4 linked regions of the Mus musculus genome follow. The protein of the gene in region 2 interacts with the protein of the main gene of each other region in a biochemical or structural test. Links are inferred from orthologs where the notes say so. Each region holds a gene or a part of one and is shown on either strand. Other genes may lie near its edges. The genes, in order: Ubr1, Ube2b, Rnf20 and Rnf40.

Evidence for each region.
Region 1: the proteins of Ube2b (region 2) and Ubr1 form a complex in vitro, tested with the Homo sapiens proteins (2 studies listed by BioGRID and IntAct, with this or other methods). The link is inferred for Mus musculus from reciprocal best matches to the Homo sapiens genes UBE2B and UBR1.
Region 3: the proteins of Ube2b (region 2) and Rnf20 form a complex in vitro, tested with the Homo sapiens proteins (4 studies listed by BioGRID, with this or other methods). The link is inferred for Mus musculus from reciprocal best matches to the Homo sapiens genes UBE2B and RNF20.
Region 4: the proteins of Ube2b (region 2) and Rnf40 form a complex in vitro, tested with the Homo sapiens proteins (3 studies listed by BioGRID). The link is inferred for Mus musculus from reciprocal best matches to the Homo sapiens genes UBE2B and RNF40.

The regions. Positions count from the first base shown.
Region 1 is NC_000068.7:120,966,293-120,975,168, forward strand, and holds the start of Ubr1 (E3 ubiquitin-protein ligase UBR1), read right to left. Parts: upstream 4,424-8,876; 5' UTR 4,311-4,423; coding exon 4,230-4,310; intron 1-4,229. UniProt on the Homo sapiens protein: E3 ubiquitin-protein ligase which is a component of the N-end rule pathway. Recognizes and binds proteins bearing specific N-terminal residues that are destabilizing according to the N-end rule, leading to their ubiquitination and subsequent degradation.
Region 2 is NC_000077.6:51,981,757-51,989,423, forward strand, and holds the end of Ube2b (ubiquitin-conjugating enzyme E2 B), read right to left. Parts: intron 6,945-7,667; coding exon 6,856-6,944; intron 5,055-6,855; coding exon 4,926-5,054; 3' UTR 3,382-4,925; downstream 1-3,381. UniProt on the Homo sapiens protein: E2 ubiquitin-conjugating enzyme that accepts ubiquitin from the ubiquitin-activating enzyme E1 and transfers it to a E3 ubiquitin-protein ligase. In vitro catalyzes 'Lys-11'-, as well as 'Lys-48'- and 'Lys-63'-linked polyubiquitination.
Region 3 is NC_000070.6:49,636,502-49,644,741, reverse strand, and holds part of Rnf20 (E3 ubiquitin-protein ligase BRE1A), read right to left. Parts: intron 6,837-8,240; coding exon 6,669-6,836; intron 6,556-6,668; coding exon 6,408-6,555; intron 6,118-6,407; coding exon 5,935-6,117; intron 5,818-5,934; exon of another isoform or gene 2,768-5,817; intron 2,691-2,767; exon of another isoform or gene 2,677-2,690; coding exon 2,558-2,676; intron 259-2,557; coding exon 112-258; intron 1-111. UniProt on the Homo sapiens protein: Component of the RNF20/40 E3 ubiquitin-protein ligase complex that mediates monoubiquitination of 'Lys-120' of histone H2B (H2BK120ub1).
Region 4 is NC_000073.6:127,599,879-127,607,322, reverse strand, and holds the end of Rnf40 (E3 ubiquitin-protein ligase BRE1B), read right to left. Parts: intron 7,018-7,444; coding exon 6,877-7,017; intron 6,799-6,876; coding exon 6,697-6,798; intron 4,857-6,696; coding exon 4,680-4,856; 3' UTR 3,718-4,679; downstream 1-3,717.

The sequences.
Region 1 (8,876 bases), on a different chromosome or scaffold from region 2:
TACTGGATAATGTAATAGCAAGGGGAATTTGGAATAGCCTTCAAAGGCAGCACACAAAGAACGGGCTAAGGCACCTACCTGTCCATGGTTCATCATGCGGTACTGACTTACACGTCTATCTTTCCAGACAGTTTTCCTATCAAGTACTGAAGACTGACACAGAACTGATTTAGTCTTAAAGATTACACCGGTTGCTCTGTAGAGAAATGACTGGAATGCTTTGTCCAGTATCGCTCCAGGGAATGGCCCTGACCAGGGACAGCAAGGGAATGAAGAAAAAGCAGACACAGAGAGACGAAAAGTTGGGATCAGATAGCCTGGACTCACAGATGGAGAAACCTCAGCACTCCACAAGCTCTTGTGTGTGTGTGTGTGTGTGTGTGTGTGTGTGTGTGTGTGTGTGTGTGTGTGTATGCATACACACACAGCACAGGCAGGCAGGGCTCTTGTATACAGCTGAACAAGAAGGCAGAGTTGGAACATACAGATAAACAAGGAGACAGGGTTTACAGCAAACAGTCTGGATCAAGGGGATGGGATTAGCTAATCTCAACATTCTCTGCAGGAAGCACTCTTCAGACCATAAACATCATGGGGAAGGGGAGATGATAGTTATGGTGGACATTTTTTTCTACAAACACTATCAATATATGCAAACGGACCAGAAGAAGGCTTTGCCATCCCTCTGAGCATCACCCTGGGAGCAGGGATGGAGAGGGAGGCTTTGCCATTTTCCCATGGGTCTGAGGCTATGTTCCCTGACAAGCTTTTGTCCATGTCAACAACACACATTCACTCAAGGCTTCCTCTCATCCCAACACTGGAAGATGACAAAAGTAGAAGGAGAGAGACCAGTGAAGAAGCTACAGTTGTCTAGGCAACAAATGGTGGCTTAGATTACAATGATGAGTGTAAAGACAGAGAGACATTTGTATCCAAGAGCTATTGTGGAGGAGGTGCCCTGTAAAAGAATAAAAAAAAAAAAAAAAAAAAAAAACCTTGATTTGCCTTCCTGCTGCCCTCCTAAAATCTACCATGAATGTGGAGACCAAAAACCAGAGGTACAGATGTCATTTGTTCCTTTCATTTTTCCCTCAACTTAATAATTAGGTCATCTTTGCTTCTATCATATTTCCAACATCTTCCTCAAACTGATACAGCTTTGTCTTCCTGTAACAATCTCTCACATCCTAGCGGCCTCCTACCTGCTCTCTCTTTTGGAAACAACCATCGGCCGTGCTAGTGGAGACAAGGAAGCAACTGAGTTTATGATTCTGAAGCTCACAAGTGAGATGACCCAGAGCTATAAGCTAGGAATTGAACATATGTGAGTATGAAAAGCTGTAGAACTGGATGAAATCACATATGCAGTGTCAGCGTACAGAAAAAGATCGCAGTGCCATGCCATGTGACACCTTCCTCTTAGGCAGGAATCCAGTCAAAAAAAGCAGATGTTCCGGCAGGCCATCCAATATACTCTGGATTTCCAGTTTTCTCAGTCCTTTTCACGGATCCAATAAACTATCCTTTCCTAAAAACTACATCCCAGACATTGTCTTACTCTTGTTTTCTCAGCTGTGTGGTTTCTGGGTATTTGTGTGTGTATATGCACACAACTTGACCTCAAATATATCCATTCCTATAGCCTCAATCATTGATTCTAAACTGGTAACTTCCAAGTGGCTAGCTTACTAAGGCATTCTTGTGAATATGTAGCTTCTTGGACCTTTTGGACGTTTACGGTCCAAGAATCAACTCTCTTGGTGAATCTTTTTTTTTTTTCTTAACTCAAATTATTTATTTTTATCTTGGTAAATCTTAAGCAATATCTTGTACAAATGTCCAATAACTCTCAATTATTATTTCATTTTATTTTTGCTTTTTCCGATCATTCTATTTTTTTTTTAATTATTACTATTATTGTGTGGGGGCAGATATGTACATGTGCCACAGCATGAATGTGGAAGTCAAAGTGCATATTTGTAGAGTTGGTTATCTCCTTCCACATCTTCATTGGTTCTAATGATCAAATCAAGGTACCAAGCTTATGCAGGAAGCAGCTCTGAGCCATCTTGCTAGCCCTATCATTTCATGCTGCTTACTTGTTAAGTGACTTTAGACCTTGCTGAAAGGTTACTAAAACAACCTTGTATCTTTAAAAAAGGCAATTTAGTTTAAAGAAATCAGCAACTGTAACTAGAAAAGCACTCTAATGAGAACAAAGCCTTTACTAGATCTTGTAGCTGTCCTATATTTGTTATTTTGTTTCCACAAGACCCAACAGAGATTTGAGATACAAATTAAGCAAACAGTGGTGGGGTGCTGAAGACTCAAACTGAGCAATCTTGGCTTAACCACAAGAGTTTTAAATAGGGAGAATGAAATGGGAAAGGGCAGATGGAAAAACTACAGGAAGTAGGATGAACTCTGGGGTCAAGCAAAAAGGGCTCAAGCCAAAAAATAAAGGCTTCACGGTCATCGGTCTGTATCCACTTACACCACCCTATCTTGAATCTAAGTTCTTCATCTTTTATATTATCTATAGGCTGAATTCCCTGAGGCTACATGACACCACTCCTTGCTTCTCTGTAAAGTTTAAAAAGCCTTGCCCAAAGAAATATATTATTCTTTGAAGACATGTTTGTTACAGATTCCTGCTCAATTTCTATACCATTTTTCCAATTCCAAAGTAATGGATGTTTTATGGTTTTATTAATGGGGTTTTACAGTGCTAGTGGGAAAGAATTAACATAGCAACGATTTAAATAAACATTACTCATCTTTGGCAATAGGAAACTACAACTATTCTGACTATAACGCACTAGATTACAAACAAACAAAAAAAGCACATGATTCTATCTATGAATCTTTTTTTCTATTTTTGTTTTTAGATGGAGTTTCACAGTCTAGTCCGGGGTTTGCCTGGAACTCCTGAAAGTAAATGATCTCTCTATCTTAACCTATAGCTCAGAAGAAGAGCCCTTGCCTAGCATGCATAAGGCCTGGAGTTTTCTCCCTAGCACTAAAAAAACCAAAACCAAAACCAACCAAACAAACAAACAAACAAACAAACCAGTTTATCTACTTGGAAACATTTTCTAGCTGTTTTCATCTAAGCTACATTACCAGTGGTGAAGTGAGTTTCAACTGCTTTTTGGGATGGAGGAGGAAGACTGCCAAGTGCTGATCTAGTGCATATAGTCTTATTCCAACTCTGTCCCTGATGGTTTTTTATCTTACAGACATTCTCTCTAGTCTCCGTGGTTGACTTATTTCTGAGTCATTCTCTTGTCTCATAAAATAATGTTCTAGAGTCTGCTGGGGTAAAGTAAGCCAAGAATGAGTTTATTAAAACTACAAACAACTTCACTAACAGGTATGTGTATATACAATGGGTTTGCGTGGGTGCGGGTATGTTTCCCACACTTTTCCATATGCAGCTATAGACAAACTGATAAAACATGTTGTGATCAATAGTGAGTACTTCCTAAGGACCTCCCTCCCTTCTAGTTATCTGAAGGGACCACATCAGAACATTTGTGAACATTACCCCACCTTTCAGCCTACTCTGTTCGTATTCTCCACGCAGCCAGACTGTTGACTCAATTTTATTCTACCTCTCCTTTCTCAGCCCTTCAAAAATCTAATAGCCAAGTATAGATTCCAGTATTCTCTCGTTTGAAATGTCCCTTCTCATATATAAAAGGCATGACAAATGACAAATTTCCCTCACTGGGGGCCAGATCGAAGGTTCTCAAGACGCTGCAATAATGGATATCTGGCCATGCCTTGCCAGCCGCAACACTCACTGCCACTATCAAGTCCACCCGACAATGCTATATCACACCAGGTGCTGGTCCGGGTCCCGATGCCTATCAACAAGAGGGGTCAGCAATGCGTCTACCGAAAAATGGCCTTCTCCAACCTCATCTCAGCTCCTACATCAAACCCACCTAAATGTGCACGAGTTCTTTCTACTTCAAAATAGAGACATGCGTGTCTGAGCACGTTGAGACTTAATAGATGACAGTCATTAAACTCCGTAGACCTGGCTGGCAGGAATGTGTGTAGGAGACGACTAACTTTATCGGGGGAGGGAGGGTCGATCCTTCAATCCTAGGACTCCCCTTCCCCAGTGCCGCCATAGAAAGCGGAGCCCCAAACCCTCCCAGGCGCGGTGGGAAGCTGTTGGTGGAGAGGACAAAAGGCGCTAGCAGATGAAGACTCACCGATGCCGGCCGCTGCGGGGCCAGGGGAGGCTCCGGGCTGACGTCCATCCTCTCGGCGCCGTCCATCTCTTCGTCCGCCATCTTAAGGGAAACGAACGCCCGCAGTTCCCGACCCCCGGCCGCCAGCTAGCGGAAACCTGTGGCCGGCCCGACGCGACAGGGACGACACTTTTACGACGGCCCCTGAAGTCAGGTTTGTCGCAGCACCCGGAGCGGCTTCCGGTCGGCTTCCCGGAAGCAGGCTGCCGACCTGCCAAGCCGGAGGTTTCCGCCCCTGATGGTTAGTTAGCCCTGCTCCACCAGGGCTGATCCCCGAGGGAAGACCTCACAGCTTTGTCGCCATCCCTTAACCCCGGGGCAGGGGTGGTGAGATGACAAAACCGAGAAACCTAGTCCATCCGTCGGTAAGGGAAGACAAACTGAATACATCCCCGTTATGGAATACCCCATGAAAAGAACAAGGTAGATGTACGGAAACATCGAGGGGAAACTGTTGCCACAGACTACAAATTCCTGCATTTGTGCATCTATGCATAGTGCGAAGGAATAGCTCTGAACCAAGAGAAAACACCCAAGGCCAAGACCAGGGTTGGAGGACAAAGGTGATAAAGAGCTAATTTAGTGTCCTCTGTTTTTGTTTTTGTTTTTTGTTTAGTTTGGTTTAGTTTTTACGAAACGAATAATAGCCTCCAATACCACGCATTCCTCCTACCTCTGCATTCCAAGTGACAGATGTCAGCCACCTGGTCCCTTTTTAAATTTATATATATACTTTAGCGACTTGTGTCTGTGTCTCTCTCTCTCTCTCTCTGTGTGTGTGTGTGTGTGTGTGTGTGTGTGTGTGTGTGTGTGTGGATCATGTTTAGAGATCAAAGGACAATTTGAGGGGATTGGTTTTCTACCATCTCACCTGCCATGGAAGTGGGTTTTGTTTTGTTTTTGTTTTTGTTTTGTTTTGTTTTTTTGTTTTTGTTTTTGAGACAGGGTTTCTCTGTATAGTCCTGGCTGTCCTGGAACTCACTTTGTAGACCAGGCTGGCCTCGAACTCAGAAATCCGCCTGCCTCTGCCTCCCAAGTGCTGGGGTTAAAAAGGTGTGCGCCACCACCACCTGGCTTTTTTTTTTTTTTAGATCTGTAAGGTCAAATTTTCTTCACATACACCAACCAAAGCAACACATGACTGACTATAGATAGAGGCAGAACTAAAACACACCTACCCTTCTATTAAATTGGAACTTAAGAAATTTGGAAATTCTCACATTTTGGATAACATTTGTTTACCGAGTTAATTTTCATTTTAAATGCTGTTTATGCCTGGTGTAATGGCACCCACCTTTAAGCACTCCAGAACCAGAGGCAGGTGGATCTCTGAATTCAAGGCTAGCCTAGTCTACTCCAGAGCTATGTGGTGAGACCCCATCTCAAAAAGAGAAAAAGAAAGGAAAAATGTTTAAGATGTTATATTGTTTACATGCCTGTAAGCCGGCATGGGTGACTTACAGCTGTAACGTCAGCTAGCATTTGAGAATATGAGGGTTCTTCCAAGTTGGAGGCAGCAGAACTATATAGTTCCAGATCAGTCTAGCTGCCGGTGAGGTCCTGTCCCAAAACAACAAAAAGCAGAACATGTTGGGTTACATGAAGCCCTGCATAGAAACTTTTAAGCTAGTTAAAAGTTTTCTCCATCTTAAATTGTTATTAGTAAATATTGATAGGAACCATTTGTACAAAAGATTCTTGGGGAGGGGCAATAATTTTAAGGAGTTTAAAGTGATCCTGAGAAAATAAAGTTTGAGAAACGCTGTTGTTGTTTTGTTCTTTCTATCTTGAGAAGACACATTGTTGGGTGAAAAATCAAGTGACTGTTTTTTGAGGGGAGAGCATGAGGCATAAGGCTGAGCTTGTGACTCATTGTAAAGGGCTTATCACACACACACACACACACACACACACACACACACACACACACACACAAACCAATAATAATAAACGCACCTGTAGGGCGCTCGCAAGATGGCTCAGTGGTTAAGAGCACCGATTGCTCTTCCGAAGGTCCCGAGTTCAAATCCCAGCAACCATATGGTGGCTCACAACCATCCGTAACAAAATCTGATGCCTTCTTCTGGAAGATCTGAGGACAGCTACAGGGTACTTACATATAGTAAATAAATAAATCTTTAAAAAAAAAGAAAAACAAAACAAACAAACAAAAAGATTGTATTTTAAAAAAAATAAATGCACCTGTAGACTAGGATTATAGTTCAAAGGTAGAGAGATTGTGACTAGCATGCACATTATCCTGGTCTTAATCCTCAGTGGTTAAAAAAATAAAGCAGCTATTTTTATATTAAACATGTTTAATGAAGAATGCTAATCATTAAAATCTTATTCTTGTGGTAATGAGAAAATTTTAACGACCAATGCTAGTCACGGTCTTAGGTTTACTGTCACTGTGATGCAACACCATGACCTAAACAGCTTCGGGAGGAAAGGGCTTGGTTTACACTTCCACATCACTGTTCATTAGCCAAGGAAGTCAGCGCAGGAACTCAAACAGGACAGGAACCTGAAGGTAGGAGCTGGTGCACAGGCCATGGAGGGGCGCTGCTTGCTTACTATGGCTTGTTCATTGTGACTTGTTCAGCCAGCTTTCCTATAGAACCAGAACCACCAGCCCAGGGGTGGCCCCGCCCACAATGGGCTGGGCCCTGCTCCATCAATCACTAATTAAGAAAATACCCTATGGGAGGGACCAGGTAGAGGGAAGAGCAACGATCTGGATGTAAAGTGAGTAAATAAATAAATAGGAAAAAGAAAAGGAAATGACCTATGTGCTTACAGCCCAGTCTTGTAGAGGCATTTTTCTCAATTGAGGTTCCCTCTTCTCTGCCGACTATAGGTTTTGTCAAGTTGACACAAAACTAGCCAGCACCATCACTAAGATATTTTAAATTTTGTCTCCAGACTCATACAGAAACGCCCACAGCTCGAACCTGCCGCTTTGCTCTTCCGAAGCCATCACGTGTTCACCTGCAACCTTACTCCTAGGTTATTTGGCGGGAATCGGCCCCTCCCCCTCCTTCATAACGGAGTGTCGGAATAGTAAAATTGAACCTTGAGCAGAGCCTTGTCTTGGTTCCGTCTTTATCTCGCGCCGCCTAGTCCCTCTTCTCTTCCAGGTTTCCAAAATGCCTTTCCAGGCTAGAACCCAGACCTGTGATCTGCTGGCCAGACACAACATAAATGTCTATTTTTTATTTTTAATTTTGTTTATATTTTGTGTGTATGGGTATCTTGCCTCTATGTATGTCTTTGTACCACTTGTGTACAGTACCCAAAAGCCCAGAAGAGAGGAATGGATTCCCTGAAACTGGTCCTGGGAATTGAAGCCAAGTCCTCTGGAAGAGTAGTGAATGCTCTTAACTGCTGAGCCATGTCTCTAGCCCAGAGAAAGGATATTTTTAAAGGATCTGCCCATCTTTTAAGGAAAGCATTTTTAATATCTTCCTGTTTTCCTAACCAGATGTGATTGGACCCTTCCTTCCTGTTGGAGGACTAATTTAATAATAATTAAATAATAGAGGCTATATACTTCTAGAAGCAAATTTGTTCATTGGGATTCAGTACATTTTATTTTTGCTACTTGGTTTTAAATTTAGGAGCATTAAACTTACTGGACTTCCTCATCTATAAAACAGATGCCTATATAAAGTTTGTAAAGATGAATGAGGCACTACCAAAAGCCCAGAATGCCTGGTTTCCAATAGTACAGTGTTTGGTAATAGCTAAGTGAACTCCCTTCTCACCCCATGGTTTTCTTCTATACAAAAGCACTTTCATTTAGGGGGAAGGGAGTCAGGGATCAGCATACACAGTCTTTCCATTGTGAATGCCTCATTAGGCATCAGCATCCCCAACCACGGGCCTAGAGTTTATTACTGTTTGGTATCCTCAGGTAACAATGCCCATCCAGACTTGCAGAGTTCTTTCTTCGCTATGGATTCTTGTGCTTATTGCCTCTATTCTAATGCAAGGAATAAAGGCACAGCACATCATGCCCGGCTTTTTAAAATAACTGCTGAATTTTGGTTGAGATTGCTATAATACTTTTTAACAGTGGGGTGCTCGGTTGTTTGTTTTTGTTTTGTTTGTTTTAGTCAGGGTCTCACTATGTAGCCTACATGGCCTGGAACTTGCTAGCTCTCTTCTACAGTGCTGTGACTAAAGGTGTGTGCCACCACACCCAGTTAAGTATCTATGCTTTCTATATATCTCATGAATAGATTATTCATCCCTGGCTATGATGCTGATTTTCTTTCATAATATTCTTCAAAAACTTGTGTTTGACCTTTTAATTTCTATTCAAAAAACAAAAAAAAATTGTTATATATTTTAAACACTTTGTGGAATGGCATGAATAATTTTGTCCATGAAATAAAACTTCATAGAATTTTCTACTTCTTGTGTTATGTAGCCCAGGCTGGACTTGAACTCCTGACTTTTATGTCTCTAAGGTGCAATTCAAATCATATCTCAAACTTGCAAGTTGGGATTATAGCTGTATGGCACCACTTTTTAAAAATTATTTATTATTTTATGTAAGTACACTGTAGCTGTCTTCAGACACAGCAGAAGAGGGTGTCAGAT
Region 2 (7,667 bases):
GGTGACGGACCAGCATCTCCCGAGCCCTCCCTCATCTCTGCCAGTGTGGTCAGTGACCAGGGCCAGCAAACACATCTTCTATGAACAGGGAGAGAGAGTATCTCTCTGGCTTTGAATGAGGTGATATAGGGTTTCCGGTTCCTTGTTTTCTTTGAACCAACCCTGTTATAAAATTTCCAATTCCATTTTCTTTTTTTAAAGATTTATTAATTATTATTGTTATTATTATATCTAAGTACACTGTAGCTGTCTTCAGACCTCCAGAAGAGGGCGTCAGATCTCATTACGGATGGTTGTGAGCCACCATGTGGTTGCTGGGATTTGAACTCAGGACCTTCCGGAGAGCAGTCAGTGTTCTTAACCACTGAGCCATCTCTCCAGCCCCCCAATTACATTTTCTACAATGGATGTATACAGGCCAGCCGGAGCTGCAGGCTCTTTATCTAACACCCTTAAGAAGAGTCACTAGGCCAATTCATGTGGTGAGCAGTGGTATTCTTGGCAAAAGATCGTATTTGTAAGGGGGCAACTTTCTCCTCTGAGCTTCAGAAAGGAAGCAAGCACAGCTAAGTCTCTGCTCCTAAGAGGACAGCAGAAGTGCAAGGCCTTCATTCCAACAGCTTGCAAGACATGGTAAAATCCTCAGAGTCTAAGAATGAAGACTAAAGAATTCAGTCAGACTCTGATCATCTCCAAGTTCCCAATCCAAACACATCTTAGGGATTCATTTCCTTCTGAGTCTTCAAAATCAGTTAAGGTCTCCAAAACAGTTAAGCGGCATTTTACTCTGTGTGTGTGTGTGTGTGTGTGTGTGTTTGCTGGGTTCAAATCCTGGTCCTTATACTTGCTAAAGTCAGGTGCTCTGCCACTGAGCCACACACATACAGCCTAGAGGTGTCATTGTTTTTAAAATTGTCACTATATAAATCCACTCCCTAGGAAGCGTGGTTATCTGCTCTCAGCAAGACACTCAGATGAGTGCCACGCGGCAGCCAGAGAGCATTAGTGCCTCAATCAACAGCAGTTAGATCCTTCCACGGGCAAGTTCCCCATCCGAGTCTGAATCTTCCATACTTACCAGAGGATGGCTGGAGCTAACGCTGAGCTGGGTGTGGACGGCTGGTAAACAAGTCATTCAACTCTCTGACCCAACTAAAGTTAATTCCCTAGCCATCCTACTGAGTAGAAAAAAAGCAAAAACAGAAACATTAAAACCTCAAAACTTTACTAAGATTATTTTTAAAAGCTGTAGCAGTGATAGGACAAATTTACTAAAAATGGTACATGTGTTCAACTTCTGTTCTTTCCTCAAAGGCTAGAGGAAAGAAAGGCCCATGCTTTCAAAGGACTTCTGGTATCTTTGTTGCGTCAGATACTTAGATGACAAATGATCTCTACTGGACGACTGTCTCACACACTAGCTGGGAACTAATGGGAGCCACAGCTCTGTTAAAGTCTCTCTCCTGACAATTTTGCACCTCAAGAGCTTCAACTACTGGATCTCTCCTTGCATAGTTAACGCACATGCCACATCCCATGGCTGGACGCAATAGAAAAGAACTGTGATCCACGCTGCCTACTCCTAGGCTTGGTAATACAACTCGCTGACAACACTTACCTAACATGCCTGGAGCCATTTTCATTCCCAGCAACTCAAAACAGACAAAGCTCTGAATCTTACCATTTGAGCCCCAATGTTTCTTTCTGGAGGCAGGGTCTCATTCTATGGAGCATGACCAGCCTCAAACTCATGGAATCCTCCTGTTTTGGCTTCCCAAATGCTGAGATGCAAGCATGGACCACACCACACCCATATTATACCTGTGTCCTTATGACATTTTTGTGTGTGTGACTGTGTCCCTGAGGACTAGTGCCCACAGGTCAGAAGTGTCAGGTCCCCTGGAGCTGGAGTTACAGGTAGTGGTGAGCACCTGGCACAGGTGCTGGGAACTGAACTCAAGTCCTGTCAAGAACAGTATGTGATCTTAACACCGAGCCATCTCTCCAGCCCCCAGTGTTCCTTCTGTGACTGGGAGAAGAGCTCTCAGTATGTGCATCTCTCACACTCCTAAGGCCCTTGGTTCAATCCTCCTCCCACTAGCAAACACCACACTGTACAGGCAGGGCCTTTGTTTTCTGAGCACAGGACAGGAATCACAGCAGCCCTTAGTTCTCCTCATTGCTTTTCATACACATGAGGTTTAGATGAGATCTCAGAGACGTCATGTTACACTGGCTTTGAGGTTATGTGTATGGGATGGGAGTACATGCCTCATGTCGAGGTTGGAGGTGACAGGACAACTTATGGAAGTCAGCTCTCTCCTTCCATGGGGTTGCAGGGATCTGACTGGCCATCAGGCTTGGTGGCAAGCACCTTTACCTGTTAAGCCATGTCACAGCCAGCCTGAAAGTGACTTAATGGACCTATTTTACTGTTAAGAGGGCTTGGCTTGGGGAGGTAGAGATTCAGGGGCATTTCCTGGGTGGAAAGGGAAATGGTTTGTTGAGAAACCAGTCCTTTCTATCAGAGAGCAGGAAGTTTCTATCCCCAGACTTTCTGACATGGGCTATGTGTATGAAGGTGGGAAATGACTACAAAGAAAACTTGCCCACTGGATAGTCTGTGTAACTCTACCAAATAGAGTACAACTCCCCTTAATATTCCTTGTGCTTCAGAGTTCATGCTGCTCCGAAAGCCAGCTCATTTCCTAGCTGGTTGACCTGGGACCAACCAGCTCTCTGTCCCTAGTTCCCTGATCTGTAATGGAACAGTACCCCGTGGGCTGCTCCCTGCCAGGCCCTGTGCGGAGGAAGTGCATCTCCAGCATGTACATCTAAGTCCTGTGCACACCTAGCTCTGCCTCAGTGCCCTGCTTAGCTCTAGCTTCTTGCTGTACAAACGTAGCTAGACCAAAACGAACATTTGTGCATGATAAAGTGTATGAGTTAAAGATGCAGATCTGGTACTCTGTTGAAGACAAAAAAATGAGTGACTAATAGATCATTTCTAAGGACTTTCTCCAAAAGTCAAGATGGGCTAGATAGGTAGAAAAACTGAACAGCTGGCTCACCACCTGACACCACTCCCTTTAACTGTTTACCAAGTAAGTACTTGAAATGTTTTCAAATGGATGAAGAAAACAGCTAAGAATAAATATGGTGCGGACATACCCAGGATAGTGTTTAGTGAAATAGTTGAGCCCCTCTCACAAGTAATTGCTTATTTACTGTCCAAGTCACCGAAGGAAAGAGTAATGGAGCTAAATACATGGCAGAAGCATCACACATGTCTCACCCAAGTGGCCTGGAACTCACCATATAATAGCAGGCTCAAAACCATGGCCCTCCCCAGCCTCCCAAGGATGTAAATAGGTTATGTGCCACCATGCTAAGCTTAATAAATTAGTATTTTTATTTTAATTATGTAAGCGTCTGTTTGTGTGACTGTCAGTGTCTGATTTAGTCAGAAGCTTTGGAACCCCAGGAGCTGAAGTTACAGGCAGCTGGGAACTGTCTGAAGTGAGAGCTGGGAACAGAGACTGGGTTCTTGCAGAAACAGTACATGCAGTAACCACTGAACCATCTTTTCAGCCCTCTGGAGTAACGACTTCTAAAGGGAAGTATCAGTTCTTATCCATCCCAGTTTTCAACTTTGCTTGTAAACAGAAGACATGGTCACTCTGCAACCCAACGTTCCAGCAGAGAGGCTACCAGAGCACATCTCTAGGAGGCTGGTGTGGATGACAAGAAACTCAGGCTCACTGCAATTGCTGTTTCAACTACTAGAGAGACTGCACAAGTGGTTCAACAGAATTTACTTGTATATTTTCCATTTTCTATACTATTTGAAGGCATAGGATAGCTTTGTATTAGCTTTCTACAATACTGTGTTTTAAATCTATCCAGTAAACTAAGATGCAGTACAACTTGGATACAACTGAGGAGGTGAGAAGCAACTCGGCAGGCCCTGGTGCTCAACAGTTCCAGAATAAACAGGTAGCGCGCAGCTGCATTAAAAGGTAGTTTGCAAATATTCAAGTTACACCAAGATTCCTTCCAAATCTCTGCCTTGCTCAAACCAGCGCAACCGGCCATTGCTAATACTGCGGCACGGTGTTTGGTAAATGGTGATGGTTTTACTTTCTTTTTAATCAAAAGCCTGTGAAGGTGCTGCCACACAGCAGAGGAAGTCAGCTCTGCTCGTGGTGGAGGTGCCAATTGTGAAGTCACAAAAGGTACAGTTTACATGAGAAACGCACATTAACAAGTGGCCCAAATACAGAGCTGGACAGAACCAGACCAGTAAGTCTATAGTTACTCAACTGAACTTACAGAAGTACATTCAAAATAAAGCCGGAGATCAGAATTGGTTTTAGAATCGAATTTGCAGACTTTCTTGATAAACAGAAGAGTGACCTTCTGCAGTTGGAAATGAGGCTCTCACCTGGCAGAGACTTCGCAGTCCCTCTTGCACAGGTGAGGAAATAAGTGACAAAGTCTCTTGCACTGAAGTTATGTATTTTAACAGCTTTACACGTAATATTCATATATAAAAAACTTTAAGTGCTTTTCTCCAATTTAAAAATCTAAAGAATTCAAAAATAAGGCATTCAATATTTGAAAAAAGTACAGATTTACAAAATGTGTATATTCTGTCATGAAAACTCCACACCAACATTATACACTTGGAAAAAAATACAAACAGGATATATTACAAATTTATGCAGCAATAACTTAGTTCACACCATGCAATAAAAAGTACATTAATCAAGATACACAAGCTTTTGTAGGTTCTAAACTGAAGGACTTTTTCTTTTTTTCTCTGCAGAATCCTTAAAACCCGTGGCACTTAAAACTTGCTAGCCTTTCTACTGGGAGGTAAATTATACACAACAACGATGAAGGATGAGCAGACCAGGTGTCTATTATGAATCATTCCAGCTTTGCTCAACAATGGCCGAAACTCTCTTCTCATACTCCCGTTTGTTTTCCTGATAAAGCTGTGCTGCTTGGCTGTTGGCTGGACTGTTTGGATTCGGTTCATCCAGCAGAGACTGGGAGAGAGAAGGAGAGAAGAAAATGCTCTTCAGCTGTGTGCTATAGTAACAGGACTCAGATAAGGACAGAAAATTACACAAAACAGAATTACTTGGAAGTTCCAATGTCATCTTTCGGGTCACAAAACCTTCAGAAATTACATGAAGCAGGTTTCTGTTGCTAAAAAACATAAGCTTCCAAAATAGTTCTCAGTTGCCTTGAGATTTCCCATTTCAAGGAGATCAGCCAAAAACAGTATTCATTAGCATATAAGAACTTCCTCACCATTGAAGTAACAGCTTAATCTGGTTGAACTATAACACCTATAAATACCTTAGAAATTTAATTTCATGTATTTTGTACTGCTAGTAGTATCTCTCTCTATTTTTCTCTGTGTAGCCCTGGCCTCCCTCTGCCTCTGCTCTCCTACAACTAGGATTAAAAGTGTGCGCCACCACTTCCCAGCTCCCAGATCCACTATCATCAGGTTTTTGTGGTGCTCAGAAGTTGGGCATGCTGGATAAGTGTTCTACTACTAACCACTGTCCCCTGCCGCTAGGCCCAAACCTTATTCCTGTGGTTACTCACATACGCTTAGCAGGGAGGGAATAAAAGAGTAAAGTTCTGAGGTGGGAAGGAAAATACAGGGTAATGAGCAAGCTAAGGGTTAACAGTCACTCTTCTGGGGCTGGAGAGATGGCTCAGTGGTCAAGAGCACTGACTGCTCTTCCAAAGGTCCTGAGTTCAAATCCCAGCAGCCACATGGTGGCTCACAACCATCCATAATGAGATCTGACGTCCTCTTCTGCCTGGAGTGTGTGATGACAGCTACAGTGTACTTACATATAATAAATAAATAAACCTTAAAAAGGAAAAAAAATAATTCCTAAGTTTAAAAAATAAAATAAAATAAAAACCTCACTCTCATATGTAGATCCTATCTTAAATACATGAGACATGGGATCAGAAGTGGACTATGACAGGGGTGGGGATTAGAGACACACAGGGATTGGACAGATGGACAGAGGGAAAGCAGGATAGACAGAGAAGTAGTGAGAATCAGATATGAACAAGGTTCAGTGATGTAGTATGACATTCCCCAGAGATGAGTGGAGCAGTAGGCAAAAAGACTCACAAAGATGGACAACATTAACATTTTTTTTTTGCTCTTCTCAAATCAGTACAGCTCTGTCAGCCTCCCTAGACACATGAACCCACAGTTACTGCACCTCTTTCTTGAATGGAACGACACAGGTACAGGGTCTTTGCCTGGCAGTTCCTGGAGGTCCCTATGGTTTTCTAAGCAATCACTTTACTTCTCCCCAAGATACTACATGGGCACAAGTAAGTCTCACTTGTGAGAATGTGGACATATGACAAGAAAACAGGTTGTGAATAGGCATGGTGGAACATGCCTGGATCTGCAGCATTTGGGAAGAGACAGTCTTCTGTGGATCAGCCTGAGCAAAAAGAGACCTCTGCCCTCCAAAAAGGCAAGCTGTGGATTAGATCTCATATGTCAACTAATTAAAGTGTGGAGCAAGCTGGGTGTGGTGGTGCACGCCTTTGATCCCAGCACTTGGGAGGCAGAGGCAGGCGGATTTCTGAGTTCAAGGCCAGCCTGGTCTACAAAGTGAGTTCCAGGATAGCCAGGGCTACACAGAGAAACCCTGCCTCAAAAACAAAACAAGAAAATATAAAGTGTGGAGCAGTCAGGGTGTTGTCGAAGTCATGCATTAATTACTTGGTGCTGGCAGGTGGTTCTAAATAACTGGTTATATCCCAAAGAATATCAAGTTGTGATGCATTTAATCTTACCTGAATGGAAGTTAAGATGGAAGAGACATCATATGTGGGACTCCATCGATTCTGCAGGATATCTAAACATATGCTACCATCAGCATACACTGCAAAACAACACAGTTAGTTACAAGCAACTCTCGTGCCACAGTGAGAGCTCTTCAGCACACACTAAACTCTGTTTCACAGGGAAGCTTGTCCTGAAAGGAACGTCCGCCTCACTACCCGTGGCATTTTTGGAAGGCTGAGGGAAATTTTTCTGAAGCCTGCCATACATTCGTTACCACATTTTGGGTCCAAGGTTGTAGCTCAGTGGTAGCGTGCCTGCTTCACATGTGCAGGCCTGGGCTCACTCCCCAGCACCCAAACCAAGATTACTCCACCTTTCTTAAGCCTCAAATAGAGATCCTGAAAAAGACCCACTTCTAGAGATGATTCTCAGATTATCATGAATATAGAGATTTACTTGTAGGACTTTCACAACGGCATAATCTATGAGGAAAAAAGAGCAAACTCCCTTATGGTCCAAAAGTCTGGTTAAACTATGGCACTCACGACTGGAGGTGCAGCTTGGTGGTAGAGCAATTAATTATACTCATGGACAAAGTCCTGGGTTCCCAGCATCACAAAAATAGTAAATAACAACACATTCAAGGAACATTATTTATAGCCATCAAAAATGCCACCTATCTCCTGTGTTTGCCACAAAATTAAGGAGTTTTTGATTCTATAGACAGGTTCTCACTATTATAGCCCTGGCTGAGCTGAAAATCACCATGTAGACCAGGCTGGACTTGAACTCACAGAGATTGGCCTGCCTCTACCTGAAA
Region 3 (8,240 bases), on a different chromosome or scaffold from region 2:
GCCTCCACAGGCATCTGTACACATAATGGCATATTCCCTCTCACACACACATACACATGAATAAAATATACATTCCTAAGTCATTTTTAAGCCTATATAATCAGCACTGACCCGCTCTAGGACTTCAGCCAAATGCCGGTTGAGACGCTGTTCTCTTTTTCGAATTTTGTCAATATCCCACTGCAGGTCATCAATCATGGACTCCAAGACGGACACTCGTGACTCAGCTGTCTCTACTTTACCCTGCAACTTACAGAACTACATCGCAAAGACAAGCATTCAGAAACATAACAAAAGGACTGAGTCAAGCATTCCAAATTCCATAAAATTAGTCCTTGCTCACATACCATTATATATAAAAAAATGTATTCAACACCCAAATGTAAAAAGAAAAGTTCTTAGACTGCTACAGGCAATTGCTAAGAACTTTCACAAGGACAATCAGTTAAGACTCAATAATCTATCCATGAAAAGCATCATTTCCCTAGAAAGACCACAACCATCAGAAAATGAAGATTTTTTTAAAAAGAAAACAACCTTTATCAAATACTTTAGAAAATAAGAATTTAAAACAGAAACATCTCTTACTACCAACTTTCTCTAGCTACATATCCAGAAATGATAATCCTTATAGAACAAGATAGAAACTTCTTCTGTGTTTAAGCTGACTCTTGAGCAGTTTACAATCAGGTTGTGTGTGTGTGTTTGTGAGAGAGAGAGAGAGAGAGAGAGAGAGAGAGAGAGAGAGAGAGAGAGAGAGTGCACGTGCATGCATGTGTGTGTGCGTGTGCACGCGCCTGCCATAGCTTGTATGTGGAGATGACCAGACAACCTCAGGCATCAGTCCTTTTCTTCCATCTTGTTTGAGACAGATTTTCTTGTCATATGTCAGGCCCTCAAACTTCCAGGTATGCCCAGTCCCTGCCTCTCATCTCATCTTACGGAGTAGAGTTTGGGGATTACAATCAATACTACTGCATTCAACTGTATGTAGATACTGAGGATCTCAACTTTGCATCAACGGGATATTACTACATAGCATCTCAATTATGAAACTGCCCCATGTTCCCATTACTCTGTATAGACCCTTCAGCTTATTTTTTTTTCCTCTGACAATCTTCCCACTAAGAGATGAATCTGTTCCTCCCCTTGATCCCAGACAACTTTAGTGGTATATATATATATATAGTGTATAACTCTGAGGCTATACTAAAAAGCTCAGGCAGGATCTGCTTTGTTTCTTAGAACACTCAATGTAGTTCAGCTGACATGCTAAGAAGTCTTCAGGCCCTCCGCTGCAATTGACAGCCTCCCAGCAGACAGTCGGCATCAAGAACCAGCAATGAGAGGTGAGGGGCTGTGTAAGAGGAACTGGGAGGAGAGAGGGGAGCTGAGATCAGATGTGAAGTGAATAAATAAACTAATGGAAAAATAAATAAATTGTTGCATGAAGAAGCTGCGCTGTACTTGGTGCCAGGAAATTAAATCCTACTCTGATGTTGTTTTTAAAAATGAAAGGAAATAGCAATGCAAGACATGGGTTCTACACACGAGCCCAGAGAGCAAAACAGAGAGGCCCTTGCTTACTCTTGCTGAGATTTGGGAAAGGCCTCAACAGGAGACATTTCTATCTTGGTAACACCGAGCTAATTCCCTAAAATATGACACCCCCATCTATTTGTAAATGCTGCTAAAAGTCCATGAGCATCCAAGCAAAGAACCTAACAGCAGAGCTCAGGAAACAGTGCAGGGTAAACATGGCTCTGAGATTAAACAAACTCAGCAAATCACATTTTTTAATCACCTGCTCCGACTGTACACTACCCTTCATTTGTATCCTCACCAGTAAAATGGAAGCTGTTTTGCCATTAGTAGTAATATTCATGTAGTGCTTAAAACTGGGTACCAAATGACTAAGTGACAATAACTAAATAACTAATCAGCACAAAAGTCTAGTAGCCAAACCAAAGTAGGTCATTATCAACAGATAACATATCACCTGAGCTAACAAAGTAATCAGAAGCATGTGCGGAAAGATCCAAAGCTTTTCACTTTCTCATAAGCATGTTACATAGACAGATGCCGAAATCTAGCATGGGATAGTAATCATGGCACTGTCTGGGAGCTACTCTGGGGTGAACATTCACATTCCCCAAGGTCCTATGGCTTCACCATTGCAGAAGCCTCCCTCCTCACCATACTCTGCTCTACTCTCACTTGGCTATTCACTCAGTACCACTGTTGACGATCTATTATATTTAGGGCAGTGAATCATTTAGGATTTACAATTTTGTTGTGTTGTGGCATTTCTTCACAATGATGAAGATCCTAAACTACTATTAAACAAAGGCACAAAGAGGAATGGTTCAGTTGTTTTCTTCTTTAACCTTTTCATGGACGTTGCTCTCTCAGAGTTGACTGTTGTTACTGCCCCACACTCTCCTCAATGTAAGTATGCCTTGTAAAATTAAGGGGCCTCTCAAAGTTCTCACAGTTCTGACTTGGTGTGGTCACCCAGAGCTACGAAGAATGGCTGTTATTCCTTCTGGTCAAGTACCTCCTGAGACATGGTGTGATGCTTCTCCTGAAGGAGGTCTGTCAGCTCCTGAAGCCTCACATTCTCTTGTGCAAGGAAGGAGTTCAACTCCTGCACTGCTTCCTCCACTATCAGGTTATCTGAGAAAGAAGAACTGCACTTTAGTTTAGTATCAATAGTCTTAAGTTGTACAATCATCTATTGCATCAAAGCATCAACCTGATGGCTCACCTCACTATCCTCAGAATGTCAGAAAGTAACCTAGTGTGTTATCTCACAGGACACAGGAAGCACCCAGGTCAGGTGATAGGTAATTGGTTATATAAATGAGTCAACCTGCAACCATCACCTATTCTCATCTCTGTTAAGACAAATGCCTTGAACAAATAAATGAAGGCTATATCATTGTATTCACATACAATTACCATCACCAAAAATAGATACTTTAGAATTTAGAACAGACAAGATTTCTAAGCAGTGTCCAAATTAAAGCAATACAATTTTATTTTATAAGGTAATCACAAACTCCTATTATTAACTAATAACAACATGAAGCATCTCTCTTTTGTGGTGGAGAGACAGGAAGCATAATTTCTATCTTCAAATAATCACATATAAAAATCCCAATGAACAAAGATAAAAACACAGAACTCACTTATCACAATATTATGTTAAGTACAAAATTAATTGGGTCTGGAAAAGGTTCCAACTATCAAGGTTGATTTTCTTTCCTTTGCTACCAGAGAGAGCAAATGACCCATACGAATCTCAGTCCCTTTGATCATGGCTAGCCAAAAATCAGGAGGAAGAACTCCAGGTTTGCCTCGAGTGTCTTAGGATCAAGGTTTGTGCAGTGGCAAGCTCTCAAGTAGCACCAAGTGCAGACCTTCAAGAGACACAATGTTTCTTCTTTAAGTTCAAACAGTCTCAAAAAAAGTTTCTCAGCCTCTATGGATCAACCCAAACAAAGCATAGGCTCTGCTGGAACATTTTACTCAAAGCCAGACATAAAGGCTTTACTTTGCATTATCACTACATCATTGCACAGGCTGGACTTGACAGTTTGGACTCCACACCTGGCTGGCCACTGTTCGTAATGGAATGAATATCCAATGGCATCAAACACAATGGGGGAAGGGCATCAAGGTGGAGAGTAGGTAGCCTTGGGTAAGCACAGTTGTACACGGTCTAAAGTTCCTGAAGCTCAAAGTCAAAAATGTACATAATATTTACAAATTTACAAGTTACATCTTTAGAATTTCTTATGCTGAATTCAGGTGTTTAAAATTAGTCATAATTATTACAGCTCAATCTATGTGCTATAAATGGAACCAATTAGTCTCCAGACACACATTATCCTTTAGAGTTGCCAGGAAAAAGCATTCCTACACCACTTGTTATTACTGCTCTCAGTACTCATGCAACAGATCAGTCAAGTCACGGGTTCCCAGTTTCCATGTAGGATTGCCCACCTGAATCATTTATCAGACTTTCAAGATAGACAATTCCCAGGGACTCATACAAAACCCTCTAGTTAAGACTCTCCATAGCTATGGCAAAATAAATACATAATTAAACGGCGACTGAGTCAACCTGAGTTAAAAACTAATGCCTAAATTTTCATTCTTCAATACCCTAAGTTCTGAAGCCAGGCCCTAAAATTCAATTAAAACCCAGTGAGTGTTAGTAAATTAATAAATAAGCCATAAATCTAAACAAGAATGAAACCATGGGTGAAAATGAACTTCTAAAAAGTTATTACTCAGTATTATAATTCATAGCACACATATACATATATGTGTTATGAGTTATAATATACATTATAATTCATATAGATATAAAGATATATATCTTTACTTTTTTTATCAACACAGATTTCCTCTGGATCACAAACAGCTTAACTATTTAGAATTTAAAATAAAATGTGTTTTTTTTTTAACTTAAACTTGATCTTAAAACACACTTACAAAAAATAATTTTTGTTTCTGTGTATGCATGGGTCTGTCCTGTGTGTACAGGCACGTGAATTTGGAGGTCAAAGGATAACCCTCAAGAATTGGTTGTCTCCTGCCACCTTGTGGGAACCAGAGATTAAACGCTTGTTATCAGGCTTGTGCAAGAGCCTTCAAAGCTGAGCAATCTTGTAGACACAGAACCCCAAAACAGTTCTTAGTTCAGTTTTATTTTCTATTCAGTCTAATTCCTTTACAAATATAGCAAATAATGTACTTGACATTCACCTAAAATATCAAATGTAGCATCAAAATAACCTCTGCACATTGTACATTCCCCACATTAGAGTGGTTTAACAATACCCTCTAGGCAGTCAATTAGAGCCATGGGAGACAGAAGTATCACACAGCTAGTTTTATAGCAATAGGAAGGAGTAGTCATACCCATCCACTCTCAACTGTAGTATCCTAATTAAAAAATAAAATATAAACAAGCATATTAATTACCGTACTAAAAAAGAAGCAATTTTTAAGAATTTTCTTGAAAATAAAATTCTAGAATAATACAGTTCTTATTTGCTCACCTAGTAAATAAAGCACATTATAGTTAACTAATTTATTTAGGAGATTAAAACATTAAATATCTTGATGATAATCACGGCAGCTAAAATACTACAACAGAGGGTTAGGGAGATGGCTAGAGGATAAGAGAATGTACTGCTCTTGCAGGGAACCCCAGTTTAGTTACCAAAAATCCATGTCAGGTGGCCAACAACTCAAGGTCCAGGGGGACCTGATGCCCTCTTCTGAACTCCTCAGTTACCTACACTCATGTGTATATAATTATACACTCACATATACATATACAATAAAACTTCTTAAAAGATACTGTAACCAGATCATGGCTAATGTTGAAAACCTGAAATAAAGGCATTTTATCTGCATTTAAGAAAGAGATCTATCACAAATGACTAAAGATCTTTAATAATTTTAGTATACTTCCTATACTGTACAAACATAATTTCAGTAATAAAACTCAATAAGTATTCCAAATGGTCATTTTACTTTAAGGCTTTTTCATCCACTGGTTTCCTATTCTATCTCTTCAAACACAGGAGTCATCTTATTACTTTACTACCTCATCTAACTGTCTTTAAATACACCAAAGGAAAAGGAACACATTAAAACTCACCATCTGAAGTCAGAAGTTTACTTCTACTTATGAAAGTATATCGTTAGCATGTCATGGGAATTACACTGAGAGTCACAAGGGTTAAAACTCCAGGGAGCTTCGTTAAACTGAGTTTTCCTCTCTTACTCGTTTTGGTGCTGGAATAGAAGCCACACACCTAGCCACATTCTCCCTTACTACTGAGCAGCACCCCAAGCCTCCTAGAGCTGAGTTCTTGCCTCCCATTGATCCCTGTCTCCTGGTCTTCTCCTCACCTCCACTGTTCAGTTTCCGGGATAAGAGATCCACTTTTTCTTGCAATTTATCATAGACAGTCACAATCTGGGACACAGCACGGCGGGAGGACTCTACACGCTCCTGAAGCTGAGATTCCATCTCTTCACTGGAACTGCTAGCCAAAGTAGCAAGGAAAGAGAAAGCTGGCTCTTGCCCATCCCCTGAGAACATGGGGAGAAAAAAAGCCCCCCCAAATTATAAATCTGGAAATAGCAAATTTTCCCTCAAATGGAAAGCCTCAAAGCAAAGTTCAACTTCAAAAATCTAGTAACTAATACAGTTACAGAATACCTCCCAACAACACAGGGAGAGAAAAAGGAGCCCTTAATCTTCTTTTAAAGCTAGAAATAGCAAAATCCACTGTCCCGCTCAACTGGAGAGCCTCAGAGCAAAGCTCAACCTTAAAACCCAGGTAACTAAGGCAGTGACAGACTTCCTTGCAAACACTTGCCTCTCTCACGGTCATCTTTGCGTTCCTGATTGCTATCAGAGTCAGGTTCTGGTTCTGGCACAACCAAGGCTTTCCTTTCTGTGAGTAGGTCCCCCAAACCCTGGTCCAGATCATAACGTTTAAGGATGATGCGGATGTTTTCATCAAACTACAGAAGGAAACATGCAGTAAACAACCATGAAGGGCAAAAGTTGAGAAACTAAGAGCGCTCTAAGGATGAGAAGGCTGATCTGAATAGGGGTGAAGAGACAAAGTAGCTACCTGGCTCCAGTACCGGTTCACAATCAACAGTGAGGCATCATCAGTGGCCTGGCGTCGCTCCAGCTTTTCAATGTGTTCCCGAAGCTCATCTTCAATGGCCTGCCGCTGATCTAGCATTTCTGCTAGCTTACGATTCTTGGATTGCAGTGTTCGAATGTCTAATTCCTCCTACCTCAGGAAACAGAATCATTAGTCTCCACAAAAAAACAGACGAGCTATTAAATTCACTAAGTTCACATTAGTTCATTAGTTATTTTTCTATAAAGAAAATAAAAAAAACAATCTTAACCGAGACTAAGGACACAGCTCAGGTGCTCAGGTGCTCAGGGCTTGTCACACAAGCATGAGCATCTAAGTTTGATCAATAGAACCTGCTTCTAAGAAAGCCTTGTATGGTAGCAAATGCTGTCACCTCAGCACAGGAAAGATAAAGACAGGTGGATCCCTGAGGATAGCTGGCTGGCTAGCCAGCCTAGCCTAATATTAGTGGGCTCCCTGTCTCAAAAGACAAAGTGGATGGCAACTGAGAAACACTACTTGGCCTTGCATACATACATTAAGAACTCTTACAGCAAATGATTAAGTAAGAAGTGGGAACAGAAGAAATAAAGGAACAGGTGTATGATCATGTATGGTAACAGCAAGTATAGCACTCTCAAGCTGACCACCTCACTGCTCTAATAGGATTCTTCACCAAGTATCTGAATCCTGAGGCTCCACCATACTGCTAGTTATTGGGTGACTTAAACCTAGGTTTAGATGAACCATTTAAAACACACACACACACACACACACACACACACACAGCATCCAGTTTGTCAGTATTTTGGACTCTAATGGCAAATGACTAGGCTTCAGGGATAAATTTTATTATAAACTATATACTAAAGGAATCATCCAGAGCTCTGCTCCAGTCCAGGTTCCCATTGCCTGATATAAAACATGTCTCTCCAAGTATCTCATGTTGGCACAATAGAACGTGCATACTGTAATCCAGGGTGTGTCAACATTCCGGCCAGATCAGATAGACCTAGGAGGTCTATCTGCCAGAGCATCCATGTTGCTGGATTAAAGAAAGATCCTGTCTCAAACATAAAGCAAAGCAAACAAAATACTCTCAACCATCACCAATTCCCCAGGCCTTTGAGACTCTTTCTAGTTTCTGCCCCTGGAGAAGCCTGGAGGTGGAGTGCGAGAGTAGCAGTGAGAGGAAAATATCACAATAGCAGGTAGAAATTTTGTTTGTTTTGTTGTTGTTTTTCTTATACAAAAATTAAAGTTTATCAAAGGGGAGCAGAGTAAACTCAGATGGATGAGCAGGCTGCTTTGCAAAAAGTCAACTAAAAATCTTGTTTTATGCAGAAATTGGTGAAAATGAGCGTTAAAGCAAGAACTGCTTAGAGACTTTTATTTCTCCTCTTCCATTTTTAATTAAAACACTTGCTATGTCAGGGAAGTGACTAGGAGCTCCGCTCTGCCTTACTTGTACTATTAGTAAATGGTCAGAACACAGTCTCAGTATGGAGTCATGTGAGAATTCTGAGTGCTCATGAGAAAATTCCAATAAAACAA
Region 4 (7,444 bases), on a different chromosome or scaffold from region 2:
CACTTAAGGTGAGACTTAGAACTGATGTTGAGTATAGGTAGGAACTCTTAAAGGAACTGGGTATGAGTCATGAGTCGGGGTGAGGATTTGAAACCATCATGACACCCCCACGCCAGTCTGAAGTGGATGGCTCTCAGAAGCCTTTGCCCCCACAAAGGAAGCCCCGCTCACCCCACTTGTCCCCATGGGGTGAAGGGAAATCCTGTTTTTGAGTGTTGTGTGTCAGTAACAGTGTTGTGTCACCGTGGTCATGTTGAATAGTTGAAGAGAATAAAGGGAATAAGATTTCCTAGTTGTTTTTACTTCTTATCTACTTGTTCAGCGAACAGCAAAGTTTTTCACTCCCAGAACTAGGGCCCATGGGGACCCTAAAAGCTCAGTATTGTCCCAGGTTTGCCCTTCCCCGGGGGCCCTATGCTTCCTGTCCAGTATTTGCTTATAGAAGGTTGATAGGTTTATAGAACTTTAAAGCTCAGTCCTTGTGAAAGAAAAATCTGGTAAGCTGGATGGCTGCCTGGCAGCACTAGCCCTGGTTGTCTTGGGCCCAGCTTTGCAGCTTCTCTGGGTACAACACCCACAGTCTCCCCTGAAACACAGAGCTCCCAAGTCCTCATCCTCAAAGCTGGCAGCCACCTCTCCATGTTCCCTTGGATCCTGGGTCTAGCTCAGCCTCTCCTGCTACCTGTCTTCTTTGAGCCGTACCTTGACTTGTCCGATCTCCAGGATAGCCCAAAGGTTCTTACCATGGCACAGGCTGGGGCTCTGGGAAGTACAGCCACTTATCCAAGACCCACATGTAAGTCATGGTGGGAAGTTGGAATGACCTGGAGGCTTCAGGCCACCTCCACACTGGCAGTGCCTTTTCTTCTTGTGGTTGGGACTACAGGGAGGTCCTCATGCCTGGCTTCAGCACTGTTTTCTGAGTCTGGTCATGGCCCATGATCAGCAGTAGCCATAGCCTCTCTCTCTCTCTCTTTTTTTAAAAAAAGATTTATTTATTATATGTAAGTACACTGCAGCTGTTTTCAGACACACCAAAAGAGGGAGTCAGATCTCCTTATGGATGGTTGTGAGCCACTATGTGGTTGCTGGGACTTGAACTCAGGACCTTCAGAAGAGCAGTCTGGTGCTCTTACCTGCTGAGCCATCTCACCAGCCCCATAGCCTGTCTCTTAAGGACTCTCTGAAGGCAGAAGGTGTATTCCTGACCATTTATTTTTATTAATGTAAAAATAATGTGCATGGGTGTTTTATTTTCATGTGCCTGGGCATCACACAACTGCAGTGCCCGCAGAGGCCATAAAAGGGTCAGGTCTCCTAGAACTGGAACAACAAATGGTTGTTGGCTGCCATTGCCTGCTGGAAATTAAACCCAGGTCCTCTGGAAGAGGAGTCAAGGCTCTTAAGGCCCCCCACCCCTGCCAAGCATTCCTTCTGCCCTTCCTTGGACCTATTGTGCCTGTCCCAAATCCCAGAGTAAGTTGTCGTTCTTTCCCTCTGTTTCAGGAATATGGGTGGGTTAGTGGAGAGGGGGACTTGCCTTTTCATGTTCCTGGGTCCCCAGCCCTGGGAACACTAAGGACTCCAATAAGAGGAGGACCAGAGCAATACCTGATTTAAAGGCCAGAGGTCATGACTCCTATAGTAGGCTGGATGACACTTGGAAGTAACTACAGAGGACGGGGTCTCAAGAATAAGGGATCCCCGCCAGGCAGTGGCAGTGCACACCTTTAATCCCAGCACTTGGGAGGCAGAGGCAGGTGGATATCTGAGTTTGAGGGTAGCCTGAACTACAGAGTGAGTTCCAGAACAGCCAGGGCTACACAGAGAAACCGTGTCTCAAAAAAATAAAAAATAAGGGATCCTCTATATAGAAGTCAGGAGTGGGGTGGGGATAGATTATCAAATAGTTGGGGTTGGCTTAGAGCAGGCCAGACAAACTTAATAGGGACTGCCTAATACCCTAAGAAAACACATAACATTAACAAAATAAGTTATGAAATAACAACAAAATAATTTTATGGTTAGGGTCACCATAGCACGAGGAACTATATTAAAGGGTTGTAACATTTTGGAAGGCTGAGGACCACTTCGTTATCGAATAAGGGACCGATGGAGGTGCAGTCACAGAACACAGGCCAGAGTCTAAGGAGTGCTGAGAGAGAGTGGCACCATCTCTTGCCCTCCTTAAACAGTGGTTTTCAGGCCTGGAGCTTGGGAGGGAACTGTAGGTATAGCTTTACTGTTCCGTTGTCTCTGGATGGACCTCAGAGAAAGGCAAAGTGCAAAGGGGAGCGTGGTTACAGTTGAAGGAAGAGATCAGAAGACAGCACGATTCAAGCCGAGGAATGTAGCAGCTAGGGCCTGGGGTAAGTTCTGAGAGAAGTCCCCATCAGTGCGCTCAGAGGCAGTTGCCCTAGCTCCAGCTCAAACAGGAACACATCCTGCTCGGTGGTGGCCAGGGGAGGGTTCTGCAATCGATCAATCGATCGATCTCTGACTTGAGAGAAGAAAGCACACAAATTTGCACCAGTGACAGACCAATGGCTTGTTTTCATGGCTCTGCAAAGACTGCACACTCCAGGCACGAGGATCCTGGGACTTTTAGCCCATTCAGCTTGAGCTTAACATGAGGGAAAAGGTCTGCTTTGTGTTACTGTTAGGCCTTACTGCCCACATGGAGCTCTGAGTACTCCCAACCCATCCATTTGAGGACTCACCTCTAAAGGAATGGGGTCCATTACTTAGGAGGATTATGTTGGACAGAGAACTGACTGATGCCCCAGTGCACAGGCCTCCTAAGACTACTAGCTCAGTTCTAGCTCTGTCTAGTCTCTATGATGCAATATCCTGCTTTCCCCCACTCCCCCCACCCCCAGCATTCTAGCCGGGGTGGCTTTCATGGTGGCCCAATGTCATCTCCTATGGCTACTCGTGCTTCCCCTGCAGCTACTCGTGCTTCTGCGAGCGTCCCAGTCACTGCCAGCTCCACACCGGAGGTCACCGTAGCTCGCATCTCAGTCTCCAGTCCCACTTGGTTCAGCCACTGCGGCGTCACAGAAACTAGGCGCAGTCAGATAGCAGAAGGGGCCCGGAGTCCTCACGAAGGCAAGTCTGCGGAGAAGGCTGAAGAGCCTAGAGAAGGTACTACTGTGGCTAAGCCCGAGGCCACAACCATGGCTATGACTGCTGTTCCCACACCCACCTCACCTTCGCTTAGCGCAGGCCACGTAGCTAATCCGTAAAAGCGCCACCGGGAGAGCCACCAACACCACTCTGAACCCAGAGACAGCCCTCCATGTTTGAGCAAACTGTTTCCAAGGGTCCAGCTAATGGCCCAAGCTACAATGAAAACCCACCCTGCTGAGTTGTTCATGGTCTGTGTTCGCAGAGTACGGGTGGATAAAAAGCCTACAAATAAGACTGAAATGTGGTCACAACAGGTAAACTTGGCCCTTAGAGGTAAAGGACTACATATCCCAGTATGCAACCCACAAAGGCTGTTATCCATTCGGCCAATGCCAACCCATAATCAACAACTTTTCCATTGTGGAGGCGGCGGGGTGGGGCCCTTTGTAAACATGTCTGTAGATATATTGCTGCTAACCCAAGTGGTTGTAGGGTGGGCTGGGCTGGTTTCTCAAATGTGTCCAGCTTCCAACCATGCCAGGGAAGTGCTTGTGAGGTGTAGCGCAGAGACTCAGGTTAGACCAAATGGACGGGCTTCTCTGCAGCCTAGGGTTGGGTATTTTATTCATAACAATTAGCAGCCCATACACAACACCTCTAGAGCAGAGGCTGTGAGTCCAAAAGCTCCTGTAGCCATCTATCTGCAGCGCCGTCTCCCAGCTCCAGCAGACCCTGTCTCCGGCGTTCAGGACCCTGCTTAGGCAGGATCAGTGTAGGCTAGCTGGAGCACGGGCAAAGCTCTTCTACCTGGAATGCCTGCAAGTGCTAGATTGTTTCTTCCCTCCTGGCAAGTTGCACCTCCACAATTAAGATCACCAGGATGAAAGAAAGCAGGGCTAGGGCCAGGTACCCAAGGGACCACCAGGATGCGTGAGAAAGGGTAAAGTGGACTTGGGAGGAAAGGAGGAGATTGGAAAGAGTCTGGCTAAAAAAAAAAATGCCCCTGAATCAGACCATGAGGTGGCAGTGTCCCTGACCTGAATAGGGTGCACACCCAAGAGTGTCTTCAACACAAAAGCTACACCAGGGTACAGGAAACTCCACTGGAAGGCCAAATCCCTGCCCAGGCCTGGGGCTAAGTAAGTGAAGCAAGGCTCCTCGGGCCAGGACCCAATGTGAAGCCCAGGTCCCTGGTCAGCACTGAGCTTGTGCAGATGGGTGGTGAGCCCTTTCCTGGTGGAGGAATTCCCTTCTAGGGGTAAGGATGTATCTGTCTTCTCAGTAGAAACAGGTTTTGGTCAGCTTCCAAGGTTACAGTAGGATGCTGTGTACCTGGGAGTCCCCGAGGCTGCAGATCTGACATTCAGGAAAAGATGGCACTCAGCTTGGGTGACCCCACCTCTCCTGCACGCACCAGTAGCCCCAAACCATCTAGGCACATAGGGGCTGGGCTCATGGAGTCTGAAAGGGAGGTTGGGGCCATTGCCCCTGGGGGAGTGGGGAGCTGGGGCACAGCCCCTCGGGTGTTCAAAGTCCCCTGAGTTTCAGGTTCAGCTGATGTACACACGGTGGAAGTCGTGGGCACCAAAGGCTGCGTTGCACTTGGGACATTTCCTCTGGCGGGCCTCATAGCGGCCCCGCACACATTCAAAGCAGAAAACGTGGAAGCACTTGGTAAGCACGGCATCCTTCTTGCGGGTGTTACAGCAGGGGCAGGTCAACCGGGCCTAGACCAAACGGACACAGTAAGTCTGGAGCAAGTCTGACTGTCCCCAGACTCCAGGCTAAGGCCACCAAATGGTTGAGGCCTCTAATTCTGAACATAACTTCTGAAGGTGGGAACCAGCACTGCATGAACGAGGATACAGGCTCAGAGCCAAGTTTTCAAAATTAGAGTTGCTTACACCTATAGTCCCCAGGAGACTGTGACCATAATCAGCCAGGGTCACATAGTTAAGACCTTCCTCAAAAAGACAAAACTAACCAAAAATACAAATACAAAAACAAACAAACAAACAAAACTCGAAAGTGTCTAGGTTCTCCTAAGGACAGGGATAGGCCCTAACTCCTGCATCTCTTGCCTTAATAGCTTTTTTGGGCAAAATCCCCAAGTGGTCACTTGTCATTTCTCGAGTACCTGCTCAGTCACTGCTCAACAGGGCAGAACTGTGAGAAGCATGCTATCTGCACAGTCAGTCTGACCCACCCCTGGTGCCAAGGCCCTGCTGTGGACTGTCCCCAACTGCCACCAGGAGGCTCTCAGTGTCGGCTCCAGTCACCACCTTGGGTGAGCACTGCTTGGCCTATTTGGAGTCTCAGCCAGCCAGCTCAACTCCCCAAATTACTGTTTCTCCATCTCTCAGGACAGGGCCATGCACACTGGAAAGCCTTTCAAGGCTCGTGTCTTCCCCGAGAAGGCCAATGGGGGGATAGCTAATCAATGACTCTGCCACCTTCTCCACCACAGTGCTCCAGAGACCGGGAGCTCTGACCACCCTTGTTCTACCCAGGTTCCCTGGCTTGGCTCCCTTCCTTCCTTCCCTACCCCTCCCATCAAGGCTTTCCCCACTCACCAGGCTTCACTTAATGCCTGTCACTTAAAAGCTGAGACTTCTAAGGAAGAAGAATGTCCCCTGTTCCTTCTCATGGCAAGAGCCCTCAATGGCAGCCAGAGTCCAGTGTGGCTTTTGGTTGTTGCAGTTGACCCTTGGCTTCAGTGCTTTCCCAGCCTCCCAAGAGGTCCCAGAGGCACCGAGTTCTCATCACCTTGAAACCATCCACTGCATGTTCCTAATCCACTGAAGAGTGTTTGTCTACCTAGTTCCTATATCTCAACCCCGGACCTCCCTGGTGTCCTGCCTATTCTATCCTTCTGTGACCCATCCCTGAGCCCCGCAGCTCCACCTTAGTATTGCTTTAGCTCATCTCGTCTCAGGTGTGTAGGGCTTAGCTATGTATAGTTTCTGCCTCAGCGACTGCAATGCTCTAACAACCCCCCCCCCCTTCTGCAGCCGCTCTTGGCCCCATATCTGGCCACTCTCTTGAATAAAAACCCTTGATGGGGCTGAGGATGCAGCTTGGTGGTAAGGTGTGTGTGTGCAGCTCATGTAAAGTCCTACCCAGGTTTACTCCCAAGCATCGTATGCTCCTCCCCCTCCCAAATAAAAAGGCTTCTCTACTCTGCTTGCCCACAGGCTACCAAGCCTACCTCTAGCCTCCAGGGTCTGCTGCTGTTCAGCCTTCACTCCCCACCTGCGGCCTTTCCCTTTACATAAGCTCTCACCTCCATTCTTGGAGCTTTGGGTCTGCCTTTGGTGACAATTCCTTCCAGGAAGCCTGTTGCCACACAACCCTCCATCCCATCCCCAGGGCCACTCTGGAGACTCCACTGGGTTCTTGCCATGGCCCTGACTCATCACTGAGATGGCAGAATTACTTTAAATTGACTGCCAGGGTCCAGGTGTAATCTCTCCTCTGCCACGTGGCTTACATACAACGCACGCCTGCTGCCCTACTTTATTTTCGAGCTCCGGAGACTACACCCCACTGTCACCAGCCTCGTCCCACCTTGTACTCCTTGATCTCCTCCTGCAGGATCTCGTCAGCATCTGCATAAACCTCCACTTTCCGCTGTTTCTCTAGTTTTCGCCGAAGCCGGGAAATGTCCTCCTAGGACAGCAGAAGCCAGGCTAAGGACCTGCATGTCTCCCATACCGGCCAACCAGCCCTCCCCACCCGAGGACGCACCTGAGCCCTCTTGAGGTTGAAGCTCTCCTTCTCCCGGGCAGCCCGGCTCTCTGCCAGGCAGGGCTGGATCTCTCGAAGTCGAGTCTGCACATGCTCCAACTGCACCTTCAGGTCCTCAGCCAACTGGGCTGCTTCTACAGCCTGAGGTGGGCGGGAACGGGAAGGAGAGGACCTTGGGCCCAAGCCTGGGAACCACAGTCCATTGATGCTTCTGTTGAACATCCTGCCTGCCTGCCTGCAGTGGAGCTGACCCTGCCTTGTGGCCCTCAACCTCACCCCTTCCTACGCATCCTCATTCCTGACACAGCTCCTTACTGCATGATGGTGCTCGCTCTGGTCTTTGAGCCTCCAGTAGGCTAGTCTCTCTGTTGCCATCAACTCCTCTAACATGTATACTGTCCCGTGGACTCAGCCTTAAAGTCACATCCCTAAGGAGTGCCATTATGTTCTCAGACAGCCTTAGTTTCCTTCATCAAAGTGTTTGAAGCAGGTACAGTGGTGTGTATTTGATATTCTAGCAGTTGGGAGGCTGAGGCAGGAGGATAGTTGAGAGCTTGAGGTCAGCTTG